4 linked regions of the Schizosaccharomyces pombe genome follow. The gene in region 4 interacts genetically with the main gene of each other region. Each region holds a gene or a part of one and is shown on either strand. Other genes may lie near its edges.

The links.
Region 1: mutations in tcg1 (region 4) and gyp1 together harm fitness more than expected from each alone (negative genetic interaction), as found in Schizosaccharomyces pombe (one large-scale study listed by BioGRID).
Region 2: mutations in tcg1 (region 4) and psu2 together harm fitness more than expected from each alone (negative genetic interaction), as found in Schizosaccharomyces pombe (one large-scale study listed by BioGRID).
Region 3: mutations in tcg1 (region 4) and hob3 together harm fitness more than expected from each alone (negative genetic interaction), as found in Schizosaccharomyces pombe (one large-scale study listed by BioGRID).

What each region holds. Positions count from the first base shown.
Region 1 is NC_003423.3:782,550-787,669, reverse strand, and holds gyp1 (GTPase-activating protein Gyp1), read right to left. Parts: upstream 3,105-5,120; 5' UTR 2,558-3,104; coding exon 1,013-2,557; 3' UTR 525-1,012; downstream 1-524. UniProt on the Schizosaccharomyces pombe protein: Stimulates specifically the GTPase activity of ypt1. Functions on the Golgi as a negative regulator of ypt1.
Region 2 is NC_003423.3:3,465,765-3,469,801, forward strand, and holds psu2 (beta-glucosidase Psu2), read right to left. Parts: upstream 2,054-4,037; 5' UTR 1,766-2,053; coding exon 806-1,765; 3' UTR 506-805; downstream 1-505. Other genes in the region: mpi1 (mannose-6-phosphate isomerase), read left to right, coding at 1-388; cullin 1 adaptor protein Pop1, read left to right, coding at 3,579-4,037.
Region 3 is NC_003423.3:1,221,236-1,225,226, forward strand, and holds hob3 (BAR adaptor protein Hob3), read right to left. Parts: upstream 1,971-3,991; 5' UTR 1,962-1,970; coding exon 1,914-1,961; exon of another isoform or gene 1,872-1,913; coding exon 1,125-1,871; 3' UTR 509-1,124; downstream 1-508. Other genes in the region: pir2 (C2H2-type zinc finger domain-containing protein), read left to right, coding at 1-280; tsp0 (tspO-like protein), read left to right, coding at 3,739-3,991. UniProt on the Schizosaccharomyces pombe protein: Involved in cytokinesis and septation where it has a role in the localization of F-actin.
Region 4 is NC_003423.3:213,426-217,463, reverse strand, and holds tcg1 (single-stranded telomeric-binding protein Tgc1), read right to left. Parts: upstream 2,366-4,038; 5' UTR 2,321-2,365; coding exon 2,109-2,320; intron 1,943-2,108; exon of another isoform or gene 1,859-1,942; coding exon 1,657-1,858; exon of another isoform or gene 1,604-1,656; coding exon 968-1,603; 3' UTR 563-967; downstream 1-562. Other genes in the region: ergothioneine biosynthesis methyltransferase Egt2, read left to right, coding at 1-463; mef2 (mitochondrial translation elongation factor G), read right to left, coding at 2,565-4,038. UniProt on the Schizosaccharomyces pombe protein: Binds single-stranded telomeric sequences of the type (TG[1-3])n in vitro. Has a role in meiosis.

The sequences.
Region 1 (5,120 bases), 570 kb from region 4:
TATCGCTTAATTTGCGCTCCTAAGCCAGACGTAGAGGTAATAGGCAAAGTCTCCCTTATATAGTAAATATAGTTTGAAAAACAGTCACTGCAAATGCTGTTGTGGTAAGCAGTTGCAAAATCAGCATGAAAAAGCTATGAGTATTGAAATTTAAAAGATAAGAAATTGATCCTATAGTTATAAATAAATGATTTCTTCTTCATGAAAAGTAATACAATGATTCTATAACGCAATGGAACGTGCTTCTTTATTTCAGTTCAAAAACTGTATTAAGTTGTATAAATATTCAAAAATTGTCACAGCGTTTTCATTATCTACTCTAATTCATCCATACATTTTGGTCGAATCAAGGAAGAAGACACAGACCATGTAGTACAGTCTTGTCGATTTTCATCATCTCTTACCAATACAAAAGTCGTACTTTGAAATCGTAATGTACAATCTTGGATAAAACCAAAGAAAACATGACTAGCATAGAAGAGAAAAAAAAATGATATTAATAACGATTCATGTAAAGTATCACGCCATGGACTAAACAATCGTTGAATAGTAAAGTAGTAACGTAAGTCAAACTGGAAAAGGGTTAGAGAACGGTCGAACGTAAGAGTAAAGACAAATTACATATAAGTAATAGTGAATATACAATTTAATTCAAGGGTTAATAACTTCCCAAAAATGATTAAGGTAGTTCAGACTTTCTTCAAGAGAAATACTTTATCCTGCATGATAAATTCTAAAAGTCGCAAACTCAATCCAGCTGAGTTAAGGAGCAAACTTGAAAAGTTATTTAGGTGAATGAAAGGAAAATTTATTAGAAGAAGTAAGACTTAGACTCATAAGCTCATAAACATAGAAAAGCAACACAATGAATTAACGAAGGAGATTTGTCAACCTAATTATAAAAATGCATAGGAAGGATGGCATTTGAAAAAGGCTGCTATGCCAAAATAAGCAAGGGATTAAGGAAGAAGACGAATGCTCTGAAAAGGGAAAACGAAATGGCTACTATGCCTTACCTTTTCAAATGTGCACCAGCTCCACTGTACAATGATTTCCATAGGAAAGCTTCAGATAGTAAAATTTCGATATCCTTTGTGCTCCAATCTTTTGTCGGAATAGACTGCAGAAAAATTAATATATCCTGAAATTCCATCTTTTGTAATTCACTCGACCATTTCACTAAAAATGCAGCACATACGTAGAGGTGAAACTCAGAAAATCCTTGGACACCTTCCGCCATGTATGTATCCCACATCCGAATGATATTCGAAATACTAAGCTCGCGCATTAAAAGACAGTTCATCCAGCGAAAACTAAACTGAAGGAAATCAACACCCTCCATTTGAAGATGTTTTACTAATGGCTCATCTATACGTAAAGTAAGCTCTCGCAGATTATTCACCTGTCGACGGATTCCAGGCTGTGCATGTATATAGTTATCTTGGATACCATCTAACAATTTAGAAAGACACCAGTAAGCATCAGCCTCAATATCATTACGATTAGTTTCATCAAGAAGAGCAATGTCATATGTCATTGGGTCCTTATCGCCGATATATTCGGACAAAAACACCTGAATAAAAGGAGTAACTAAATCGCTGATGCCTTGTACATATCCGCTGGCTGGGTGCCGTGAGGCCCAAACATATAAAATACGCTCAAGCATACGCTGCGTCAATGGGTTTTGGTAAAGAAGAATAGAGGGGTTCGTCCTCGGAACGTCAAGGACAATTTGTCGCCAAATAGTTTGATCCAAAGGTGGTGGCTCTGTATTTGTATTAAAGCAGGAATCTTTTGCTGCGTTATATTCGTCTCTCTTTCGCTTTAAAGTGACTTCACGACGAGAAGCATTACAAGGTAAATATCCTAACAAGTATTTCCAGACAATAGGTCTATGTTCGGAGGGAATTCCATTCCAAGCCAATGTACGAAGCGCATTTAAATCCACAATTGGAGCATCAAGAATTCGCGAAAACTTCTTGATCCGAGAGACAAGCGCATTGCTTTCAGCAACCTCAACTTCTACAGAACGATGGGCTAGTTTAGCGGGTAAAGGAAAACGACCAGACGAATGAAGCTTTTGTCTAGAAGTGGTAGTATCCACGCCATTTTGAGGAAATAAGGAGCGGCTTGAAGAATTTGGAGTAGTACTTCGAGCCATACGAGGAAGAGATTTTGAGGCTTTAATATTCGAAACTCCCCAATCGTCATCTGTCTGTGACAAATATTTGGCAAACTTTGCAGACACTTTTTTGCCTACAACAGCTTCCAAGGAAAGAGAAGATCTCGCAGAAGGTGCATAGATTTTAGACTCACTAGCAGATTCGGGTCTAGTTATGGACCGGGCCAAAGAGATATGATCTTTTGGGGGTTGATCTGAGTAAACAGAGTCGTCCAATCTGAACGGTTGAGCTTTGGAAGAAGTGCTTCGACCACGATGGTGATGGGTCCGGCTTCGATCCAAAACAGTAACTGGATCCGAAGTGGCGCTAGAGGATCCATTCCATAAGCTGGAGAGAGTTTTTAAGGCGGACGACTTTTTTGACTGAGATTCCATAGTGGAAAATCTTAAAATACGAGAAGAAAAATTGTTTTTACAAAATGAAGCAGTAATTTGATAGCCTTGATGGACACAACAAATTTAGCAAATAACAGATACTCTTTGAATTTATCGCCAAAATAAAATACTTTTGGTTAAGATGCAAAAAACAGTTTCAAAATTTGCTGTAAAAAGTAGATGAAACGTTTTAGAAGGCAATAACTTCAAATGTTTAACGACGAAGGATCTTAGGCACCACTCATAGACTTACCGGACTTGAAGTCTTATTCTTTTCTTATCAAATGAAAACTATTTTCAAAAAAAAAAAACTTAAGCTATTAGAAGCAAAGCCGTGTCTGTGGGTTCCATCCAAACGAAAACGCACCAGCTCGAGATCTTGTGATCTATTAGAACAGCGCGGAATTTGAACACGAACAAATGTTTCGAGAAAACCTTAGATACAATCCAATACACTAGTATATTTACAAATTTTAACCGAATATCAACGAAATTGTGAAGATTTACTCGGTCTGTGCAGTTGCCAAGGCAGTTGCCCTTATTTGGTGGAAGAACAAAACAATAGGGAGGAAAACAGTAGGTGTATGGAGTTTCTTATATATGAGGTTTTTTTAATAAAAGGAGCAAGGTTTAATACTTTAATTATTTATCTCACTTTTTAGTTAAAGGAAATTCGTTTTAAGCCATGAACAGTTGATAGAAGGATTTTGGCCGTGCATGGTCTTATTGCTTGGGAATGTTGGGTTTATATGCGCAGAGTAGTAAAAGATACACAGCTAGGTCTCATTTAACAATGTTTATATCTATGAGTTCTATCTCTTCTTTACTTAAGTTGCTGCCAGTAAAAGTGAACAATGTAATTTTGACAATTGTGACTAGTCGCTTTTCAAAACAAAAAAGAGAAAAGTATAAACGTTGATTAAGAAACGTAAAAAAGTATTTCCTGTCAATAATGAATCTCTGATTTTATTGTTATTTTTCGTATTGACATCCTAGTTACCTAATATAATACGATGAATTATAAGCATTTTAATACCTACTAAGTTTAAATTTTCCTGAAATACAGTCTAAGATTTTCCTGTTCCTATATATTTCTAACAAAACACATTTTTCAAGTAGATGATCAACGAATCTAGTCTAACTTTCAATCCCAGTCTTTTTTTTAGCAGTTTCGGGTATTTGTTTTCAAACATGTATTTATATCTTTGATTCAGTAAAATTACTTCAACAAATGCATTGAAGAGGAATGATTTAAAAAACATATACGGTTTTCAATGTTTTAATGAACAGAGCAATTTTCCAAATGTTGTCTTGTCAAGAAATTGTAATGTATGTTCTCCAAAACTGACATGAGAACAAAATAAATATGTACTAAGATAAATTTTATATTGAGAACAATCAAAAATTATAGTAAGTTTAATAATCATCCAAAAAACACTTTCCTTCTCTCGTTTACATCTTGGAAAACACTCTAGAGTATCGTTATTCATTGTGATGAAATCGAAACTACAACTCCAATCCAATAATAAAGGTTACTGTATGACAATAAAATAAACCATACATCTTCCCTTTAAGTCGTATTACGACTTGTAAGAAGATTTCCTGGTTGCCAAAATATCATTCATAGTACACAATAATATTATGTGCAAAGGTATTGAAATGAATAAGTACGAATCAAGGTAAATGATTATTATTCCCAAATGAGCTCAAACAAAAAGCAAAAAGAATAAAAGGAAGCCTACAGCACCCCGGATTCCCATGTTGTCTCCAACCATAGTACTAACGAGGCCCTCAGACGCTTAACTGCAGTGATCGGACGGGAACTGGTGTTTTCGCCTAGGTATGGCCGTAGACGTTTAAAGTAGAATATTTAAACATTTTAAAGAAAAAATTAATAATCAGTCAGAGTACTGTCGATTCACTAGAAATTTTCTATTTATTGTTTATATATTCATACAGTAAGATCGTGAAGTATTCAAATCCTTGGTATATAGAATATTATCTTCATGCATTCAAAGATCGTTTAGGAGCTATTTGTACAAGCTACTTGGTGCATATTTGTCTGTTTATATTGCAAAGTCAAGAATTTTAACATAGAGAAAGAATAAAATGAAATGGAATAAAGAAATGTTAAATAATGTTATGAATCAGACTTGTTCTTGAATTGCTAGTCATAACAACTTCTATAAGACTCAACACGTTTACGCGCTTTTTATGAATGTAATACGTTAGACAAATTAAATAGACAAGTACAGTCTATGTGTCATTGACTCAACACTTAAGCATTTATATGATCTACAAAGATGAAGTCTATAACATGATCTATCACGTATTATGAATGCTTAGCCATGGCTGCTTTAAGAAGATCATCTTTTAATCCATAAAACAACATTGTTTTGGCACGAAGCGAATGATCCGTTTTGCTTCGCTTTGCTGGAATAAAAATGAAGCTGTCAGAACGAATCCTATACATCGTTAAAATAGAGTTATTAACAAAGGAAAACAAATAAGTTCAATTTGTTGCTCTTGTTATGCCATCAAACGCTCGCCTATATACGCTTCA
Region 2 (4,037 bases), 3.3 Mb from region 4:
TCTTGGCTTTACGCCAAAGTTTAAGGACATAGAAACTCTCGTAAATAATCTCACTTATCAGACTGCGGATGCCAAATCCCAACTTACCCAACCTGTACCATTTGCCAAAGCTTGTGGATCTGGCAAAACTCTGTTATATGATCCCCCGATCGAAGAGTTTAGCATTTTGCAAACCAAGGTTTCTCCTGGTCAAAAACAATGCATACGCGGAATCAATGGCCCTAGCATTTTACTTGTTACTGAGGGTTCAGGCATATTGAATGGAGACAAAGGAGATGTAGCATCGATATCTCCTGGATTTGTTTATTTTATTTCCGCAAATTTTCCATTAACGATCTCTGCGACTTCAGAACCTGTTGTCGTTTACCAGGCATTCTGTGAGATTTAGTTACTCTGCAGCTTTTTACTACTATCAGCACCATTATAATAAAACAATACATGGAATTTTTAAATTTTTAACGATACTGGATAGGATGGACAAAATTAAGTAAAAACAAATTTATTTTTTCGTAGATGCAATGCATAAATAATGAGCGTTTTTAAGAAATGTAACAAAATGTAGAGAAGAAATATAGACAAAAAAATGAAATGAAGAAGATGAACCCCAAAAATAAAATAAAAAATGAATCCAGAAGAAAAATGAAAAAAATGAAAAAAATAAAAAAAATGAAACCAGAAAAAAAATGCGAAAACTAATCAACAACGAAATAAAGCATAAAAATGGGAATGACAAAAGTAAAACGAATGCAAAAATAATTCTAATAAACAAATTTTTTTGACCAAGCATCCACTTTTAACACGCAATTTAGTACAACTCAAAGTAGGCATTGCCTCCGGTGACAGAGACTGTACAACCACTGCTGTCAGCGGTGGAACCATGGAATGATCCGTCTTCATAGTAGCAATCACCACTAAGGGACCCACCATCAGATTTAATACGGATATTGTAATCAAGTTTAGCAGATGATAAAGGATTGAAAGACATAGAAAGCCAAGTCTTGCCGTCAGTGTAACCAGACCCGAAGTTCATAGGAGCCCAATTGCCATAATCATCGCCCTCATTACCCCAAACACAGACATCTTCTGCACTTCTGCCAGATTTATTAACATAGTATTGAGCGGATGTCTTCTTTCCTCCCCAATTATAGTATGAATCTTCATCAACATCAGAAAGAGGTTGTTTTGAACCACCATCAATATTGGTAGGGATATTCATGTTCTCAGTTCCGGGGTAATCGGTACGGCAAATTGCGACATTGGAACTCAATGTATTTTTAACATAGGCAGTACCCTTTCCATCTTCACAAAGATTAGAATTATCCTTCTGGGTGAGATATAATTTACCGTTCTTGCAATACAAACCACCAACGGAAACGCCATTGTCAGGCTGCTCAGACGGCCATTGGGTCTTAGACATTCCGGGCTTGCATGCATAGGAACAGTATGTGTTATCTTGGCATGTAGAAGCTGTTCCGTATTTACCATCATTCTTCTGAACACCAGACCATCCTCCAAAACCTAAGTAATCAAGGCGGACAACGCCATTTTGATCATCAGGAAAAGAGGAGCAGTCGTATACGCCGTCAGGAAAACCACCGTCTCTTTTTGAAAAAGCGGTAGTGTTTGTGACATTGACACCAACAGTTATATTGCTAGCATTCAAACCGGCATGATGGTGATGGTGATAGGGAGCATTACCAAGAGGCATAGCTGAAACCAAAGGAATGGCGGAAACCGCAAAACAAAGAAAGTTGTTAAAGAGCATTTTTAGATTTAAAAGATTTGACAGGAATCTAACGATTGACTTTATAAACGATAGGATATGCTAGTAACTTGATACTAGAAAATAAAAGAAAGATGGTAAAGAATATAATGGTCTTTACCTTTTGCGGTTCTGATTGTTTAATTTCAGCTCACGGCTTTTCCCTAAAAATCAGCTCAGCTTTATATACATTTCTTTTTTCAAGCACTTCACCATCTTTTGATTAAGAGCCGTGGCGTTTTGCCACTAATTAACCATGAAAGCCTGTAAGTTTTCAACGTTGATTTTTTCAGAAAATTTCTAACCATAAACCCGAAATAATTAGCGCCAAAACAGTCAACTATTGCGCTCCAATCATTGCTTGCCTTGCTATCGGCTTTGTATTCATTGGCTGATAACTTAATTAAAAATGAACTTAAAAGTCAGTTGATAAATTCAACCAATTAAATGCGTGAATTTGATCTACCCCAGGAAAATTTATACTGTCCCGGGGTCGCGGGGCGTTCAATCATTCATTTCAAAGCAAATTATTATTATTTCCAAGCCAAGTAATTTAATTTTTGTTTATCGCTTTAGCTTTCTTATCATAAGGAAGTTCTTGGTCCCCTGGGCCTTTTGCAATTGAATTGCGCGGTGTACGTAAGCCTAATGACATCCCTGTATACCTAACTTACAAATACGTTGGCTCGACTCAACGTTATATTGATTTTCTCCTAATACTATTAAATATATTTAATAATCTCTTGGGAAAGTAATCTGGTACATACAAATCATCCTAGATATAAGAGGCTCGGTGCATTTCGGCAAATGATGTTCTGCAGCTCATTAAATATGATATAATATTAATTAATTAATATCGTGTTTACACTCGGTTTATCGGTTTGCTATGCTAAGAACTTTTACGGATAACAATTTAATTATTTATCTTGGTAGCGTATTTGACGCTTCTTTGGATACTGAGATTAAGTCAAATTTTGAATGGAGAGAAGTCGAATAATAGCCCAATGCCTGCCGAAATTACCCGATGCATGTCATTGACGAGACAAAAAATTTCTTTCAACGGCCTAAGAAAATGATGTACTAGAAACGCCATCTTAGTCTGACATTTTACATTTTACGCTCATGCTCAAATTTTATTAATAAATTATTATATGTGTCCGTGTCATTTAGAATATGACAGGGGAGGGTAATCTCTTTCCCAACTTTATTGGCGTGTAATGAAATTCGCGAGCTACTATTGTGTCTGCATTCTTTAGCTGCAAAAACGCAACGGAAAAGACAATTTTATAATATGAATACTTCACGTGTTCATTGTTTTTGTCTTTAGAGAATTTATTTGAAAATGCTGAGGAGGTTAATATCTGGTATACAATTAAAACACTATCGCAAATAATGTAAAAAAAAATAATATTGAGGAGCCATAACTAAGTCATATAACTTTTCTTATTGAACTATTGTTATGTCGCGATTTAGTCGTATTTACCATAAACTATAAAAACTTTTCTTAATCAACAGTAAAATTGTTACTTATTCTGGTGTTACTTACACCTCCGCTTGCGTAGAGTGAATTTAAAATTCATTGCCAAGAGTTTATGGTCTTTACGATCTATCTCGCTGAACTTCAAAAAAACCAAGAAAAAGTATTGCTCTAATGCATTAAGACGATAACTATTTGCAAAATAATTTCATATACATGTTTCCCAACGGGCAGTTGTTTTAAGTAAATTCATCAGTATCGATTCTTGAACCAGGTTCTCTAACATCATAAAAGAACTTGACAAATACTTTTCTACTAAGTGTCTGTAAACTACTTGAAATGAATGAGAAGAAAAAAGATAGCCTATCTGTTTTAGATTCCAATGAATTTTTCGGTGAGACAACTATGGTATCACCGAGTATTGATGTTTCCTCTTCTCCCCGGCCAAATGTCGAGAGATTTTCTCCATGTTCCACTAAAAAAGATCTCCTGGAAGGAAATAATATAATGACCAGAATTCCCGAGGAGCTTAGTCGTGTTAGTCTACAATTTGATAGCAAGGGAAGTCAGCAATCGATGATATTTACTAACAATCGATGTTTATCTGATAAAGAAAATTTGGAAAACTTGCAAAATCTTTTATATCTACATTGTGATCTTAACCGGCCCCATTTGAGTTGTGAGCTGCCGTCAGAGCATCGCGAAAAGTGCCTTAAACGCCGTAACTCTAGTCTCAGCTCTAATTTGCATGCTAATAAGCGGTTTCTCTTCAATTCTCAAAGTGATGGGAATAAAAAG
Region 3 (3,991 bases), 1.0 Mb from region 4:
GCTTGACCCATGTAGGGCTATGGATCCCAAAGTGGTAAGCACGTCGTATGTATCCTTACAGATTTTAAACAAGCCCTACGTTGGTTTCAGAAATATTAACGCAAACTATACATTTCCAACAACAAGCTATAGTCGACGAAATGACGAGGAGATAACTTCTGGAGCATCATCACAAAAATCTTATTCGAGGCAAGAACCCATGATCCACAGACGGGAATTCTATAGAACTTATCAAGATTTGGATGCGCCTAACCAGGAGGTTCCAGAATTAGATTACTAAATTTATGTTCTTAGTCAGAAAGATTTTTGGTTAATATCATTTCCTGTATAGACGTTACTAGCAGTTGTAGCTCCATACTATATTTTAGATTTTAAAGTAGCGATAATCTACATTCACAGCTATTGTAAAATTGAACGCTTAAGTCCATGTTCGAAAATCAAACATCGAACGCTGCACAGATAGAAATAAACCCACTTCCAACTTGACTTACAGCTTACAAGATAGCTATTGTTTGGAAAATTAATAAATTACAATTCAAATTAATAATTCGTAAGTCAACAAAAGCATTTTTTTTTCTAATTATTATATTTTAAGATTTGGTCTAAACTTACTTAACAATAGTTATTTATTAGAACAAAACTTGGTACGAGATAGAAAATAAGCACAGTTTAGTAGATGAATCGCTGGGTCGACAGACAATATTGGAAAACCAATTTGTTTATCTGATAATTTGATAACTATTCCCAATTAAAAAATTATAAAGGAAACGTTACGAAACTGAAAGGATGTAGAAGCTTCACAGTTGAGTCTTTAATAAATATGTGCTGGCTTTCCCTTCAATTCCAGTAACACCAATAGAAAATACTCGAGGATAGATAAGTATGGAAAATATTTATGTATCACAAAAAATTGAATAAATTGAAAACATTCCGTGAACCACTTCAGATAAACAAGATAAGATGGTAATAAAGTAGTAAAAGAGAAAGGATATGTTAAACAAAAAGTATTGAGGGATAAGAGATCATGGTTACGTGTAGTAACAATTATTTCGGAGGAGAAAAGGAAAGAGAAAACAGAGTGATAGCGCTATGCACACATACAATCGTGTTTAAAAAACCGATGTCTACTGACTGTTGTTCAAACCGGCGATGGAAAGATCCCGCATACTCTGTAAAACTTGTTCAACTTTATCATCCAACAAACCATTGGAATAGTCTTCGCGTACAGAGTTGTCAAAGTATTGCTGAACTTGAGCCATTTTCTCATATCCCTCCCTACAAAAGCGGAGCTGAATTTTGACAAGGGCTTCAAAGCTAGGGTCCAAATAAGGCACACGAAGAGCAATTAGTTGCGGAAGCTCACTGACCAGTTGATTATTGAGTGTCTCGTAGACCTCCTTCGCCATGGCTGCTTCTTTCTCGGTACGGGGAAGCTTAGTAGTGTCGTTGGAAGGCTTGTCGACCAGTTTTTGAACCTTAGCCCTCATAGCATCATGATCAAGTAATTTGTGATTACGCTTCGTGATAGCGGCATTAATATCGGGAAAGTAACTGCAGAACCTTGAGATGGGATCCAACACCGTTGTCCGGAAAGGACCGTCCAACTCTTTTACGGTATCGGCGTCCAAGTCTTCGACGACTTGTCGATAGTATGCACTGACACCATCCTTCGATCCAGCATCACCGTAAAATGCATCGATTGTGTTAGCGATTCTAGTTTGAGACGCAGTCATGGCTCTCAAAGCATCGAGATAACCTTTGGCTTCTTTTTGAAGCTTCTTTGCAGCTGATTCCATAGTTCTATAACGTCTTTCCTCTGTTTCAAATTCCCGATCCACCGTTCGCTCAACATGACCCGTCTTCATCATAACCTACCACAATGTTAGACAATTCTTCAACACTCAAATACATACCGAGGTACCCGCTCGGTTAACGGCCTTTTTGAATCCATGCCAACTCATTTTTGTGATATGGAAAAGAGAAGCGTCGGCATACCCAGATATCTTATGTCAGTTGATCGCTGCGCTAATGTTCGCTAGCTAAGCTGCATTGGATCTTTTAGTGGATTCAGCAGGATTCGCGTAGGGAACAATTCACGGAAGCAAAGCCATAACGTAAAGCCTGATTGCGAAGTTTATCATTGCGTTAAATAGAATAATGATAGTTTATTTCACAATGCAATTATAAAAAGATAAGGATGAAAAGCGTGTCGTTAATTTTGTGTTTAATTGATAGAGCAAGAGCATAATGGTGGTAAATTTGGGTTTCGAGGGTTGGCTTACTTTCATGTCACTATCAATAAATTACATCGCTTAAAAAATATATCTAAATTTTTCTTGTATAATCATCTGTAGTAAATCTCTGACTGCAATTAGAGGTCTATCCTCAGATAATTCTTGTTCACTAACTGCATCCAGCAGAAATCGCCTTATAAGGTAATATAGTTATGTTATAGTTTAATATAATATATCAATGTAAACATTTTAACTTGACAATATAGAGGTAATATCGTTTGCTCATAAATGGAAGATATTGTGGAGAAGCAATTTGAAATACGGACATTTTACCAACTTATAAATTTCATTAGAAGTGGTGGAATAAATGGTTTTGCATTATATGGATATAATGTTTTGAGGCTTCGACATGGAAAGACACGATTGCTACTTATCAATATATGAGATCATTCATGATAAAACTATAAAGAAAACGCTTTTCAGCGACATTTGAGCTAAAAAAACCCGGTCTCATAGTTTGCATCCTTACTCAAAAAGTGAAGAACTTAAGTTGTAGTAGTGGTGCATTACTTTGAGAGCTATTGTATAGCGATATTAGATATTGAAACAAGAACTCAGCCATTCAATGACAGTTTGTTTGTTCTGTGGGCAGTAAGACATCCAGATAATGCCCAAGAGAAAGATTCTTCTGAAAGTAAGAAACAAAAGCACCGAAATAAACCTTTCTTCTCTCTTTGTTGTCTTATCTAATTTTATAACTAAATTTGCCCATAAATCTCATCTGTGTGATGATAATTAACCGCATTTGACCAGCCCAAATATATTCTATTACAGAAAACAAGCGCTGCTACTAATAGATATACATAATTTTATAATATAATATTAATAATATAAAAAATTTAGTTGTACTGAAAATATTATCTTATGGAAAACTCCTTATAAACACTTTTTAGCGAGACACATCTACCACCACCTTACGCAGTATGAACACGTATTATACCCCAATACCTCGCTCCTCCTTCCCTTCTGTGACGTAATAGACGAGGTTATAAATATGGTGAATTATACATTCGAGTAGCTTCCAAGATCAAACTACAATTAAGTATTTCCTTTTATTTTAGTTTAGTATCGTATTTCTCTCATATCGATACTGTGCCCGTTTTTAAAATGTATGGAAGATTGAAAGATGGTTAAGCTTTATGGTCCAATTTTACTAATCTTCAATTCAATTAGAAGTTTCAACAACTCTTCTCCAAATTTCTAGTTTAATGTATGTCAGTTTTAATTATCAAACTTAACTCTAGCTACTCCATGTCTATTTGCTTAGCATGGTTTGAAAGACCTTTTGTATCTCGACATTATCTCTGCTGTTTGTAAACGAGCTGCATTAAGATTCGAAATACTTATGGTTTTTTAGTAGCAGTCGTTGTTAGTACTCTTTACATTCGTGGAATTTTTTTTTCCCGATTTCGCTAATCAACAGTAAACGATATTATTAAGTGTGATGGATTTGAACTATCAAGTATTCACTAGCATCTCCAAAAATTGGTGGTCCGCTTCTCTCGTTCCAGTCGCCTGCGGCTGGTTCATTGGGAATTCCTACAAGCCAAGAAAGGATTATGAGAACAAAAAGCAACCAAAGTTCCACCCCCCTGCATCTGCCTTTGGACCAGCATGGACACTACTATACCTAACAATGGGATATGCATCCCATTTGGCGTACAAGGCTGACCCTTTGATGATTACGAATGCCTCTC
Region 4 (4,038 bases):
CATCGAAGCACTTCCTCTCTCATACGGTTATGGATTAAGAGAAAAGGAATCAATTGCCGTAGATACTCTTACCAATCGGTTTGTCAATTCTTTCAAGCAAGATTTACCTAAGTTTATAGCTGTTGGTGAGGCTATTAAGTTTCGAAAATCCATTGGAGGGGAAGAAAAGATTCAACAATATTGTCATGAAATAGCTTTAAAGGGAGCCGAAATTATTTCTAAAGAACTGGGCACTTCCTTTATCAAACCTCCATACCCAGTTGCAATGGTAAACGTCGAAGTTCCCTTACGCAACATTCCCTCCATAGAAACACAGAAAGTATTTTGGCCTAAATATAATACATTCCTTCGATTTATGGAATTTAAAGGAAAATTTTACACTAGACTTAGCGGTGCGGTGTATTTAGAAGAATCAGATTTCTATTATATTGCTAAAGTTATTAAAGACTTCTGCTCTCTTTGAATAACTATGCTTCACAATGCATCCTCTGACTCTTTTTATGTGACTCAAAGCACTTAAGTTATTTAATACTCACCTGTGTTTTAGACATTGCAGCACAATAGATTCTAAATCTTAAGAAGCCTATAACATTCGTTTAACTAGTTACTTATATTTTGCGTGAATCAATTATTACAACGTTCACAATTTTGGAAGAAAATGTATATTTTTACTTGAAGCACTTTAACGTTTCAAATGTACAAAGATGCAAAACTATTTTTAACAATAGGCCCGAATGTATTTTTGATACAAACGGAAAATATATAAGGCACAGAACTCCAAGCAATGAATATAGTCTAGTCTACAAAGCTGCAACTTTTTACCAGGAACATGCATGGGTTCCATGCTAAGGGAGAGAACGTGACGTGCGGAAACATGAGGGTATTCGGGACATATATAAGTATAATGGCGAGGCTCATTATAAAAGGAACGAAGAGCCAGGAATAATCACAAATCATATTTTAACTTTTAGGCAGTTATAGCACTAGCAGTAACGCCTGATTTTTCTTCTGAGTCAACCTCAGATGCTTTGGGCTCAGTAGAATCAGACACGTTAGTGGGAGCAGATTCTGAAGCCTCAATAGGTTCGTTTTCATTTTTTTCATTTTCATCATTTTGCTTATCTTCACGGAAGACAGCACTTTTAACAACCAAAGTAAGGTCACCTACTTGCTTTCCATTCATTTCCTCAATAGCTCTGGATTGATCCTCAGCATTAGCAAAAGACACAAATCCAAAACCACGACCACGACGTTGCTCACCACGTAATTTTATACGGCGAATAATATAAGGAGGAAGGGAACGAACAGCAATACGAGCACGAGTAGGATTGTAAGCATCGAACATTTCTTTAAGGCCTTCATTTGTTAAAGTAACGGAGAGGCCTGAAACATAAATAGAGTTGGGAGGCAAAGGCTTAGCCTTGTTTTTACCAGACCCACCCTTTCCTTTGATCTCATTTTGTTTCTTATCGACACCATTTGCTTCATTACTTGAAGGAGCTGTTGCGGTATTAGCTTCATTTTCATCACTGGAGCCCTTAGCAGATTCAGCATTTTCGACAGAAGTTGAAGTTTCAGGTTCTTCACCATTTTTATTTTTTGACTAATGTGTCAGAATGATATTGATAAAAGCTTTGCGAACTAAAGTATACTTACCTTTTTCCTATCTTTTATAGGTTGCTCTTGGACAGGACGAGCTTTTTGAACAACAATCTCGCGATCATCCAATGTTTTACCATTCAATGTCTCTATAGCTTTGTCAACATCCTCCTGATTGTTGAATGTAACAAAAGCAATGCCAGAAGGTACGAGACGGGTACCACGGCGAACACGACGAAAAGGAATAGTTACTTTACGACTAAAAAGCATTAGTAGATGATCAAATATAATTAAAGTAGCACAGATAGTTTCGAGTAAATATAAGCTCGCATAGCTCCGTTTTAAAATCGTTTTTGTGAAAAATATAAAGTATGACTTCTAAAAAGTAAATTTTCAACAACTCCAAATTATGCACTGATTTTAATAGAGAGAGCTTTAGCTTTAGCGCTTAAACATAAGAAAATTTTGTTCTAACTCGAAATTGCTAAAACCAGTAATAGTTTACATACACAGTACCAACCGTTTCAAACAATGAACGGATTTCACTCTTTTTGGTAGACGTACTTAAACGCCCTACAAAAACACGAAAGTCGTCCGCTTGTTGAGCAGGTGTGTTAGATTGTTCTGCAGATGCATGTACAGCAGCATCTACAGATGCTTCAACTTGATCTTGAACAGTATTAGGAGCGTTTTGGGTTACAGTTTCCTCAGCGGACATCATTAAATTCGTCTAGGCGTTTTGTAGTAATTATAGTCGATATATGCTAACGGTAGGTTCCATCTGACGTTGGGGACAACATGTACACAACTCCGTTGCAGACGTGTGTGTATGCATACACCGAAACGTATAGAAAAAGAATGTCAAACATACAGCTTTTTAATGATAAGGATGATTTTTATAGAAAAATAGAATTATATCTTTTTTTCTATGTATTTATTTTACCCATTAACCCACATTTCTGACCTTAAGGAAATATTCGTTTTTGTCTCTGCATAGACATAGGATGAAAGGAAGAACCGTAATTGACCAGCTTGGGAGTTTGAGATTCCATAGGATGAGACATAAGAAATTTTGCATTACCTTTTGTTAAAGAGCTTATAACACTGTTGTAGTCGAGAATCTGCTCCAAAGGCACCTGAGCACGAATACATTTAATGACAGATGAACTCTGTAGTAGAGAAGAAGCATTGTTTGCTTTAACAGAACTAGGTTCATCAGCTGGTAGATATCTTTCACCTAATATTCCTATCGCTATCTGCGAGTCTTTCGAAGCAGCATTCTTTCCAATCTCTGTAATTTCTTTGATCGTGGCTCCCCGCTTGCCTACAAGATCTTTAGAAACAATACCAACATATTCTTCAGGAGTTGTAATTGTAACATCCATATAAGGTTCTAATATTCTGAAACTTTTGGGACTTCTCTTGTATAATGAAAATACTGCATTTTTGGTAGCTTTCATCGATGCTTGTGTCAAAAGTGACAACGGAAAGTCATTAGATAGAAAAGAAGAAATGGTACAAAATGACTGCAAATTCGTGAGAGGAAACCCATGTAAAGGCCCATGCGATAGACCTGCAACTATTCCAAAGTAGATGTTTTCTTGAATACGTTGGAAAGAGAGATGATCCGGTAAAGTACACGAGTTTTCCGGCTTCCAGCCATAAAACAAAACTCCATCTTCTTGCCCTTTACTTCGAACTTTTTGGATCTCACCTTCAGAAAAATATTTTTTCAAGGTTTCATCTCCTTCATCAGAAATAGGGATTAAGTAAACATTAATAATGAGATTCTCTTTATTTTCTGTGCTTAAGGTAACTGAATTAAAGCTTACATCAATCAAAGTTTCACGATAACCAACTTGAACTTTTCCTAAAGATGCTCGAGCTCCAAATTCAGACACCAGTCTTTCATAAGAAACTTGTAAATGCATAATGCCCATCCCTTGTATCAATAGTTGTCCATTCTCTAAATCTTGGGTATATCTAAATGAAGGATCTTCACGATTCATGTTAGCCAATGCTTCTAAAAGTGCGGGTTCATCTTTTAGCGAATAAGGTTCTATAGAAGCAATGCAAACAGGTTCAGGAATACTGATAACACTTTGATTTCCAGAAAGGTACTCATGAAAATTTTTTGAGTTCTCTTTATTAATAATGATATCTCCGGTATGAAATTGTTTAATCCCACTAATCACTCCTATGTTTCCAGCGGAAATGCAATCAACTTCTTGAGTCTGGTCAGCGAATACATTGTATAAACGAATTGCTCTTTCTGACTTTTTAGTTCTTGGATTAAACATCATCATTCCTCGGCTTAAAGTCCCTTCATTGACTCTGACATATGTGAGAATTCCCCTAGAAGCATGATGTATAACCTTGAAAATCTTTGCAAGCAAAGGACGTTTATCCAGGGAGATTATTTTGTCACTACTCGTTTCT